Drosophila melanogaster: one gene and its partner. The protein of the gene in region 2 purifies or fractionates together with the protein of the main gene of each other region. This does not show direct contact. Each region holds a gene or a part of one and is shown on either strand. Other genes may lie near its edges.

Region 1 (6,421 bases), on a different chromosome or scaffold from region 2:
ATTAATCATTTGATCACTCACAGTTGAAAAATGTAAATAAAATAAATATGTTAGCACGAGTTATTTTGTTTACCCAATCTAATATTTAAAGGCCAAGCATCTAACTAAACCCTGCGAAACAGGTTAGCTATACAATCAGACCATATGTTGCAGACCTTTATCTATGGGATTCTACGTGTAAACAAACAAAGCTAATCAGATGATATATGTGTGTTAAACATTCAATTTCCAGTGCTGAGACAGTGAAAGCTCTCATTGAAATGGCTAATTATGCAGTGCTATTATCTCGACCGCAGCTGTATGAGTCTTTTTTGAAAATAGAAAATGCTTAAATGCAGCACGCACGCACACATGCAGCGGCAAAAGGGGCAGCACGGGGGATTCCCCTTTTGAGAGGGGGTCTTCCGGAAACAAGCCAAACATATAGAACACATAGAACGGTGGTGGAAGGAGAAGCAGAAGCAGAAGAGGAGGCAGAGCCAAAAGCAGAAGCGACATGGAAACTAGGTCAACTCTCGACGCCATTGGAGCAGGCGAGTGTCCGACCGAGAGCGACGACAATGACGCCCGTCACACCCAGGCGCAACTAGCTCAAGGCCAAATCCGCACTGCAGCGGGGGGTTTGGGCGAGTCCTTCAACCTTTCGTTGGGCGAATGGTGGGGTGGGCTGCCGTTTTTAGACCGTCCTTGGAAGGGATTTGGATGGGATCTAACCGCATCGCATCTCACTTACCCGCTGCGAAATGCAATGGTGTGGATTTGCGTCCCGCCGTATCCCTGGCGTTCACGGTCTGAGGCGTTATTAGCTTCTTCACCTTGGCGATCTCGCCCGTTTTGCAGGCCTCGAAGAGCTCCCTCAGCGGATCGTTGGCCATGACCGCATCGAGATTAACGCTCAAAATGGCCCGACTTCGGCTGCTGTTGGCCATTGTTGTGCTTGTTTGCTACGCTTTGGCACACACACGCCCCGAAAAAAATAGGCAACAAAAAACAAGCGCAATATTCAGTGGGCTTTCGGGTTTTCCACTCCCAGTCCAGTTCTCTCCTCCAGCAGTTGCTCTGCCCGTCCTACACAAGCCTCGCCGTTGTCCGTCGCTGGCTTGCCCGCATCCTGTATCCAGGTGTCCTGCCTATGCCGCAGGAGCAACAATTTGCCACTGGCTGCCACGCGACCAGCCCTCGTTTTTGCTTAATATTTAATGCACAATTGCAGACCCAAAATCAATAGGATTTCTTTGGTTCGACACAGCACGGTTGCAAGGATCGCGGTTGGCTACGATTCGTTTTTACTGAGACTGCGACCAACTCTGGGACTAGCTCCCTGGTACTTGGCCTCCAAAGCTCTGGGCACGGACGATTATTTCCGGATTAATTCACTGCTCCGCGAAATATTGCATTGTTTTGTGACCGAGTAAGAGTGACCGTTCGCGGGGTGGTCGAATATTCCAGGTTGAGTCAAGCGGTGTGACCAGGCGACGGGGCAAGCCATTCTGAAAAAATACTGAAGTCCTCGAATCACATAAGCTTTTCCATTAATTATATTTTTTAAATTTAATAGCTTATGTTCTCACAAGGTTTTACACAAATTTGTGCTTCAGTGTGCACTCACTATTTGGTGAAAAGCGAAAAGACGTTTGCATCTATATTGTGTTATAAGAAACAATTTTTTTTGTTAACCAAATAGACAATATTCAATTGGTGGTACAAAAATTAAGATCATCATTTTTATGAGCTTAAATTAGAATTCTTAAATTAGAAAAGGCCATGTAGGAATTTCAATTATCCTAATATAAGCACATAAGCCTATTACTAGGGAAAAAATCTCAAAAAAATTTTTTAAAATAATAGCAAGTACCTGTTACAACAACATGCAATCCCAATTGGCATTGCTATCGATAGCTTGAAAAACACCTGTTTGGCCATCCCTGGTTGGCTGTTGGTGCAATCGATTTTTGGCATCGACTGGATGCCCATGCCAACAACAATGTTTGCTTTTAAAATTTAGATTAAATCCGTTAAAAATCCGTGAAATCAAAACAAAAGCAGTGGAGCTGCTTCACAACAAGATTATCGTGCTTACTAGAAAGTGAAGAACCACGGAGTTACCGCGCCGGAAGTACAAAAGTAATCACCAAATCGGAAATCCGAAAAGTGAATCAGAATTTTTCTAGCTCACACACACACGCGCGCATACCCGCACGCCCAGCAAACACTCATGCAAGCGTATGGAACCAGTCGTGTTGTTGTTGTTGCTGTGAATAAGTGCAAGTGAAGAAGAAGCAGAAACTGTGATCGGAAAATTAAGCAAAAAAGAAAAACAGGCGAGGAAAAGTGGGGTTGGGGAAAAGCAGACGGAAAAGTGGAAAGGCGGAGTGCAGCTAACACGCTTCGCTGGCTGCGCGACAGCAGAACGCCAGTCAAGCGCCAAAAACCATTAGTAGAACCCCATTTCCAGCTGGAGCGGCACAAGAAAGCAATTTTCTGGTAGCAGAAACACCAAGAAACGAAAATAATTGGCCGATCTTTAGAGACTCGACTCGACGACAATTAGCCGGAATGGAGCTGAAAGTTTGGGTCGAGGGCATCCAGCGGATAGTTTGCGGCGTTACAGTGAACACCACATGTCAGGTATGTGAGCTACAGCAGAGGTCAAAATAATAGCACTATTATCTTGTTAAAGCATTTTACACTGCTGCAGTGCTGTTAATGTGACCCGAACTGTATGCGCTCTGTTTGCTAGTCAGTTTGCCCTAATTATCGTTTTATTTTCCACAGGATGTGGTTTTTGCTTTGGCCCATGCCACTGGAAAAGTGGGCAGATTCACTTTAATCGAAAGGTGGCGCAATAACGAACGCCACCTGGCCCCCAATGAGAATCCAATGAAGCTGCTGCTCAAATGGGGCGAGTATGCAAATGATGTGCAGTTTATATTACAACGTTCGGAAAACAAAACACAGCAGCAGCAGCAGCAACAACAACAGCAGCAGCAGAACAATAATAATAATAACAACTATGCTGTGATGACAACAACAAAAAAGCCGCTGGGGCCGAACAACAATAACAATAATAAGCCAGCGCCCACTTTGCTAAAGCAAAAGTCGAACGTCGAACTCAGCTACCGCACAAAGGAATTGAAAAAAAGTTTCGGGTGGGTGGTTTTTATATGCTAGTTAGTTTGGAAACTACCCCTTAAAGCGCTTACCTAGCCCTAATTGTTAATAGGCTAACAAACTGTGTTTAAATATGCACCTGTGCGGCTACCATCAACTGACAAAACTTGTCTCTTTCAGGGGCCACGATGCCAAGCAGTTTGACAACATTGGAATCGTCAAGGGAATTCCGCAGCAGCAGCAATTGCAGTCACAACAAACGGCCATGGGAGCACCGGCGAGTCCACCACAGGAGCAGCTGACACCGCAGGATAACAATAATGTAGCACCACTGGTGCCAAAGCATGAGAAATCGCTGTCCAATCCGCTGGACATGACCAGCACGGGTAGCAATCCACCCGCACCTACAAATGGCTACAATGACTTCTACAACAATAACAGCAGCAGTAATCAGCATATATACAGCCAGCTGAGCAAATCCAGCAATGAACTCCGACGCTCCAGTCCCAACGAAATGTACTACAACAATAATAACAATATTGTTAATAACAATAACAACTCACCGGAGCTGTACAAGCAAACGCCGACGATTTCCGCGAATGGAGCTCTAGTCCCACCACCATATCGTGACCCGCCACCCCCGAGAAACAGCCCCATGTGCCAGGGGCAGCGTTTGGCCAGCAGCAATGCGGACACCATGTCCAATGCCTCCTCCTCGACGAATCCGTTTCTCAGCGACTACGATCAGCATAGCAGCCACAACACTAATAGCATCAACAATAATAGCCAGGCCATGGAGGAGGGTGAGCCCATGTTCCAGACCACGCAGTATAACGATTTGCTGCAGCTCATCAAGTTTCAGCGGGAGAAGATCACAGCCCAGCAAATGGAATTGCAAAAGGTACAAATATTCAAGTTTCTAAATTGATTTGGAATGTTATTATTTTATTTTTGTTTTATCTGCTTAGTTCGATACGGAAATAGTTTATTTGGAGAGCAAAGAACGCGACCACGCCCACGAGTTGGATGCTATTTCGCGTGAGATTTCCAAGGCGGATCAAATCTTTCGGCAAGGAAGCGAACAGCTCCAGACTCTGCAGTATGTGGAAGAGGAAAACGAATTGGTCAAGCAGCAAGAGAAGACTTTGAAATCAGAAATAGCTCTACTGCGATCCAAGCTGGCCAATTGCGAAACAGAGCTGCTACAATGCAAGAACAAAATGCGCTTGCTGATGGATGACATTGAGCTGGAGCAGCAACATCAACAGCAGACCAATAGGTGAGTGCATAGCAATTTACTTGCTTTGTTTTAAGTTTTTCACACTTCTTGGTTGTTTCAGGCAAACTGTGGAGCGAGACTTCTTGATGGAAATGGAGCGCATTCAGAGTGAAATCGACCAGGCTCTGCACAACACTGACACTTCAAACAAAACTGCAGATAGTTTAAAGAAGGAACTACTCATGATCGAGCATGCCATCGCGGACAAGAAGCGGCAGGTGGAGCAGCTGGTCAACGAGATGAAGGAGGTGAATTTGCAGAGCCTGACTGTGACCACCACGGAGGAGATCAAGCATCTATTGGAAGGACCCAACAAGCAGGGCAGCAGCCGGCGGATCATCGGTTCGCCCAGGCAACTTGAAACGGCGGTTCCAACCAGTAAAAATCCTCATGGTGTGTGGGTTTAAGTCACACATACCCAGAACTATTTTTCTAAACGTATTTCTCCTCCAACAAAATAATGTTTTTGGGAACAAATTGATCAACATATCTTGAATGCATAATGGAGTTGAAACGAAATGGATTCCTTATGAATATCACAATTTTAAACAATATTCTAAAAATATTTACAATAATTAACGTGCTTGATTGTTGTTTTAGTATGTTTACATTCCAATCACACTCTATGGATCTCTCAATGCAATGATATATGTTACAAATTTGAAATCACAATCGTTTTATTACTCTACATTCCGCACTGTACTTTGTATTTAATAGTAGTTAATGAGTCCCATATTCACATGCCCTAATCTTAATTTTGTGTGCTATACTTTTGGTTAATTTTTGCTGCTAGTCTACGTGTTAACAAAAACCCTTTCCAATCTCTACAATTCGCCATTAGTTGTTAACTTGACAATGAATTTTAATTGTTGCAATAATTCGAGAGTATCGTAATTTAAAAACGCCTTTCTAACGAATAAGTAGTGCCCTTAGTGATTTGTCTCCTACAGAATTATTCATTGTAGAATTCACAATTCGAATTACACAAAACTTATTGTACTTAGCAATTAGCGCAGCTTTAAAAAAACAAATTAGCAATGCTTTGTTGAAAAGTTTAACTTTTAAAGTGCTTAGCCTTAGCCACCGGATATCGAAACAAAAGACCGAAGCATTAACAATTGCAAAGGTATCAAGCATTAGTACATACATAATTGCTAGCGTACAATTAAAAGACAACCCACAAGTCGCTTTGATGTATTATGTTTTTAATTAGCAATATTTAATATTTACACAAACTGATGATGATAGTGAACTACAAAACACCAACGGAAATGCAATTTATCGAATATTATATATTACTATTACATTTAAACTAAAAACGATTTAGAACAAATTGTAATTGCATTACATCTAATTAGCTAATAAATACATTTTTATGATTTTCTCGAAACGAACTGTCTGTATTTACATTTGGTTTTGGTCTTTTGAAACACCACGAATTTTCCGCAAATGAAATCAACGGTCAGCCCGAAGTCCTGTGCCACACGAAGCTAGCTGCTCGGCCGCTTTTCTTGTGCGGAGGGAAAAACAAAATCAGCAACACATGCTGCCACCAGCTTCAGTTGGCCGCTGTGCTCGAACGCGTTTGGTCCTTTTGTCCTTGTCGATATCCTTCGCTCGCGACTCAGACTTCCTGGCGAAGCGCGCGCTACTTTCAATTTTCAAAAAGTGTCGCCCAGTGAACGGGTCAGTGAAAGTGGCCCGTAGGAAATAAAGAGGCAAAGGAGCATACATTTGAATGGTCCGTTTTTGGGGGCATCCTATCGCATTGACACAATCGACAAAGTGGTCGAGGGAGAGCGTTAAAGTGGCCCGCCAGCAAAAAGGACGAAGGAGCGCTCCGTTTTTATGGCCCTCTTCCACACCAAATGATGTTCAATTGCGATGATTGCGATAATGAGAGTCCCAGTTTCTCTGTTTTGGGGATCATGCATCGCCGAGACAATGTGACCTTTTGCGGAAATTATGATTTGTCTCCGGCTGACCTTGAGCCCCCCCGCTGGGCGATGTAACCCCCCCCCCCCCTTGCCG
Region 2 (4,897 bases):
TTTTTAGCTGTCTTTAGCTGCGATCGCAATCTCTCACACAGTTGAATTGTTTTCAGGCACTAGCGCTATTTGGCTCCATTGCATTTGAGTTTCGTTATTTAATACTTTTGTCGATTGTCTCGATTTCGCTTTGTTTCGCTTGTCTGCGTGAATGTTTTTAGATAAACTTTGAACGCTTCTTCATTTTGCCGTTTAAATAATTGTTATGTCATTGAGCTGTCATTCCGGTTCGTGAAGCTGCAAAACAGAACAATCAAAAGAGAAACCATTAATTAGCAGTATGCAAAGTAATATAAACAATTACCATGTGTATGCATACAATAATCGTAAAGCAATAAAGAACGCTTCAGTTCGATTTGGCATGATGCTCATTTTTATTTTAAGATGCAAATATGTGCGACCTCTTTTAATATTTGCTAAAATGTATTTAAAACTGGTGTTTTAAAGCAATATATTTAGCAACCCAATAGAAACAGCTGAGTTCCATTAACTGGAATCTCAAGAGATTGGGAACTCTTGCTTGAAGATTTACAACACTTTATTATTATGAAATTCCTTAATACCCGCAACTTAAACTGCATGGCATGAAAATCATCGCCACATACTTTGAATATCCAACATTGCTGGGTGGTACCAGCTCGCTCTCCACCTCCAAACCTCCAAACCAAGTCCCAGAGCCAACTATCCAGTTAGACAGCTCCCGGCCAGACAAGCGCATTGTTCGATGGCTTGGTCCAGACTGCAGTTGCAAGTGGGGCCAATCAGTAGATTGTTCAGTTAGGCTAGTCAGTATCCATGGCAACCATAGCCGCAGAAAAAAAAACCCCTCCATTGTTGACATTGCAATTTAACGGCGAGCTGCTTCGACTTTCCCATGCCAGACGCATAGTTATAATTATTTTTGTGTGCATTTCATGGCGAGGTTTATCTTAAATTTTCGCCACTTAAAGCCATTTTTTGCAGTCTTCAAGTGCGCTTAAGAAAACCAGCTCGGTTTACTTGGATCCATATATAAAAAAAAAAACAAACTTTCTTTGTTTAATTTGGTGCAGTTAAACATTTGAGCCAGCTAGTTTTAAAACAAATTATATTTTCAGAGCAGATTGAGGCAAGTTTGCAACTCTCGCTACTTTTGAATATGCATTTATATGTATTTCAAAATAAAAGAGCTAGTTTCCCCGCTGCAAATATGAAAACGTTGACTCACGACACACACACAATTATGAGCGCGGGGTAAGGAATAAGAAAATTAACTGTGCGAAAAAAGGGGCATCAAACACGGCAGCAACATAAAGTTCCTCAAGCGAAAAATTTACTCCAATGAGAAAAAAGGCACAACGACGATCGTTGTGTGGATGGAAGCGGCATGGAGGTGGCCACAGGGCAGGGGGAGTACTCCGTGAGGCACACAGCGAGCTGCGGGCACCGCCAAGCCAAGAATTCCAGAAACGACAAACAAAACAACGGCGGAGAGAAACAAGTTTTTCAGAGTATGCCAGCAGATCGCCAGAAAACCGAAAACTGAACTAAGAACTGAAAACCGAAAAACGAAAACTGAAAACCGAAAGGCAACCCCCACAAGTACACAAAAGAAAACGTATAGAGTCCCTTTTGTGGATTACGATTTGATAAGGATTTGGATATTGTCTGTTTTCTGTGTCCCATAATTATAGGGATATTGCTCTAAAAGTACCAATTCCACTGCTCGTTTCTTTGAGTGTAGGGACACGTAACAGGAACGATCCGCGATGGTGGTAGCGATGGTGGTTGCTCCACTTGCCACACCGAGATCCTTCGCAGACCGCAAATGTATGTGCCCAGCCACCTGTCGTTTGAGCATTTCCCATTAGAGAAAAGCCGCAAAAGGAGCGGCAAGCAAAGTTGGTTGAAGGCAAGGAAGGAAAGGAAAGGAAAAGGAAAAAAAAAGATCGGGCCACTTTCGACAAACAGGCGGCGCACGACCAGAAAAAAAATGCCTAGTAACAAATGGCAATCAACAAGGGGAGCGGCTATGGAAAAGCAAGTGAAAAGCGAATAGTTAAGGCCACAATTTCACTGCACGGGGAAAATTCATCATCGGCGTTTATGGGCGCCTGAGGTTTACTGTGAAGTGAGTTGCAATCATATCCAAATGTGGTTAGGCCAGCACGTTATCTTCTTATTTTTGCACATTTAAGTTGGGATTTGATTGCATGAGGATATAACCTATTATTAGCAAAAGAAAGTCTTAACTGTTAGTACTAGTAAGCATTGATAAAAGCATGAACAGTTCTTCAGAAACTAGCAAGTTATGCTCGAAGTAAACAAAATCATCTTTTTTTCATGCAAATTGATCAGCAATCATGGAAACTAGCTTTCAACAGTCGAGTGCCAGATACATTTGCAAATATTTATCTTTTCACGCACGCCTCGCTAATTGCCATCGATCAGAGATAAACTTTCTATCGGGTAATGAAGCAAAGTGGTCAATGCCATGGGCAGAAATTGGAAAAATGTCAATGGGGGAGATAAATAACATTTTCAGTCACTTTCAAAATTCGCACCTTGTTTATTTCTGCTGCCGTTTTGAGTTGTTTTGCTTATTTATTTGGCTCGAAAACGAGTGTTAAGCGAGGGATCGATGATCAGTTTTGAGCATCCAAGTGTCGAACACTTTCCATTTTTATGGTGATTTTCGTTGTTTCTCTTTTTTTTTCTGAAAACGCGTATTTCTGAACACACATGCACATACACTTGTCAACACAACTGAGAGTTGCAGTGGCACTTGTTAACTGTGGTATTATGGCCAAGTTTTTGAACTTGTTGTGGGCCAAAAACCTCCTGGAAAACCCGTTGGAATCGCCGAACGACGTTACACACCTGCGACGATATGTGAAACGAGTTGCTCGTTTTCCATTTAACGCTGCATTCAATTGCAATTCGATTTTCCCGCAACGCGAACCGCACTCCACGGAATATCGAAAACAAATGAAAACTGAGGTGGCGCGTTGAGTTGAGTTGGAAAACCTGTTGCTGCCAAACGACGCACACAGATGCAAATGCTCAGCGACAACAAGCAAATGCAGTCTATTTCGTCCTTTAAAAGGCACTGGAAAGTCTCGAACTTCACTGTTTGGGTAACATGAAATCTTTAGCTAAACGATTGTCTCAACTTTAATTGCAAATTAATGGGAAACAAATTAAAAACACGAAACGAAAAACAAAACAGAAAACAAAATAACGCGACGCTCAACACGACTGCTTCGCAGGCAGTTATCGACTGATGCTTATCGGTCGATATTCACCACACCTAGTATGACCACAGGGGCGATACCCTTTGCTTGGCGCCATTATCGATTTCCGATCGTTATTTTCAAATTCGAAATATAAACAGCAAACCTTTAATAATGCTTCAATCAGAAAACATATAAATCAGGAAAAAATAAATCGTATTTTAAAATTATCAGTTTATTTATTAAATTCTAAAGTATATACCCGCGATGGAAGTTGGTGGTAGGCATTACATAAAATGAGCATCGCACCTCCGCTTGATATCACTAACCTTTTGTAGTTACCCTAAACAACGAACTCGAGGAAAAGATTTCGGAAGCATTTTGCATATTTGATACTCATGGCGATAAGTATATTGATTCCCGCAATGTCGGCAACGTGCTCCGATTTTTAGGTTGCGCGCCCACCGAAAAAGAGGTCGAAGATGTCATTAAAGCCACCGATTCCGTCGACTATCCAGGCGAAGCCCATTTGGTGAAGTTCATGGAACACGTTTCCAAACTGCTGATGGATCGACAGTTATTCAATATACTTTAGGTTTGTTTAGCAACTAACGATATTTGTCCACAGAATGGAACCAGCCTCGTCGGAAAAGCTTCTCGAGGCCTTTGAGACCCTGGATCCAGAAAATAAAAAATATCTGACCAAGGAGTACTTCGGCAAATTAATGGCGGAGGAAGGAGAACCTTTCTCCGCTGAAGAATTGGATGCTATGTGGCCTGTGGCAATTGATCCCATTACTGGACACATTCCCTACACCTTCTACATAAATCAACTCAGGGTAAGATCGCATTTCCCAACTACTTTTGATTGGATTCATCTAAAATTTCCAGCACAAGCCTGATATCTATGAAATTGCCGAGGTTATCAAGGAGGAACTAGCACAAGCCGAAAAAGAAAAGGGCAAGAAACCACAACAACCACTGTTTTAGATGCCCCTTTAATCAAGCAATTGCAAATAACGCGGAAAATAAATTTATACATTTTATAACAAATAATTTCCTTTCTCGTTTTTACTGTTCCACATTGAGATATAGACGGTCACACTGCCATGCGCAATTCGAGATGGCATAGTCGTTGTTCTATGTTTGGATATTAAAATGAATTGTGTGAAAAATTTAAGGAACTATTTTTTGTTTTAAGATATTGCCTGAAATGTTACAATATATTTATTAAATCCAATAAAAAAAAATTTACAATACATTTAAGCGCTTTTACAAATCATCGTTGCTCTAAATTAACTGAATTTGTAATCGATAGCCCGATACGTGCTGCTCCATCCCTCATTACCCCAACTCTTCTAGAAAAACACGTCAGCTTTTCACAGCCATTCGGAAAAGAACACGTCAGCAGAAAGGAAAACTGGTCGGTCGATATTGCAAAGGTGGATGAGAAAATTGCGTGAGACGGAGCCAGAAAAGCCCGAGTCGGCGGCGATGAAGAGATTCAAACCAGCAGAGCGTCCGAGAAGCGCAGTCGAAGTTCATGAGACGACCTAAAACAAGCAAAAGTTAAAATACGCTCTTACAATGCAAATCTAAGTGGAAAGTCGCTTTTCACAATTGCACACAGCACACAGCAGTTTATCATTTAGCCCCGAACCAGTTAAACATGGCACCCACAGCAA

The links.
Region 1: the proteins of Magi (region 2) and RASSF8 purify together in Drosophila melanogaster (affinity purification with western blotting; one study listed by BioGRID). This does not show direct contact.

The regions. Positions count from the first base shown.
Region 1 is NT_033777.3:25,659,859-25,666,279, forward strand, and holds RASSF8 (Ras association domain family member 8), read left to right. Parts: upstream 1-1,936; 5' UTR 1,937-2,556; coding exon 2,557-2,628; exon of another isoform or gene 2,629-2,775; coding exon 2,776-3,149; intron 3,150-3,291; coding exon 3,292-4,012; intron 4,013-4,079; coding exon 4,080-4,390; intron 4,391-4,451; coding exon 4,452-4,797; 3' UTR 4,798-5,782; downstream 5,783-6,421. Other genes in the region: Tnks (tankyrase), read right to left, coding at 734-929.
Region 2 is NT_033778.4:21,138,996-21,143,892, forward strand, and holds the start of Magi (magi), read right to left. Parts: upstream 3,267-4,897; 5' UTR 2,544-3,266; intron 801-2,543; exon of another isoform or gene 606-800; intron 238-605; 5' UTR 1-237. Other genes in the region: CG9406 (uncharacterized protein), read left to right, coding at 3,480-3,492, 3,551-3,788, 3,841-4,051, 4,104-4,202; Xbp1 (X box binding protein-1), read left to right, coding at 4,882-4,897.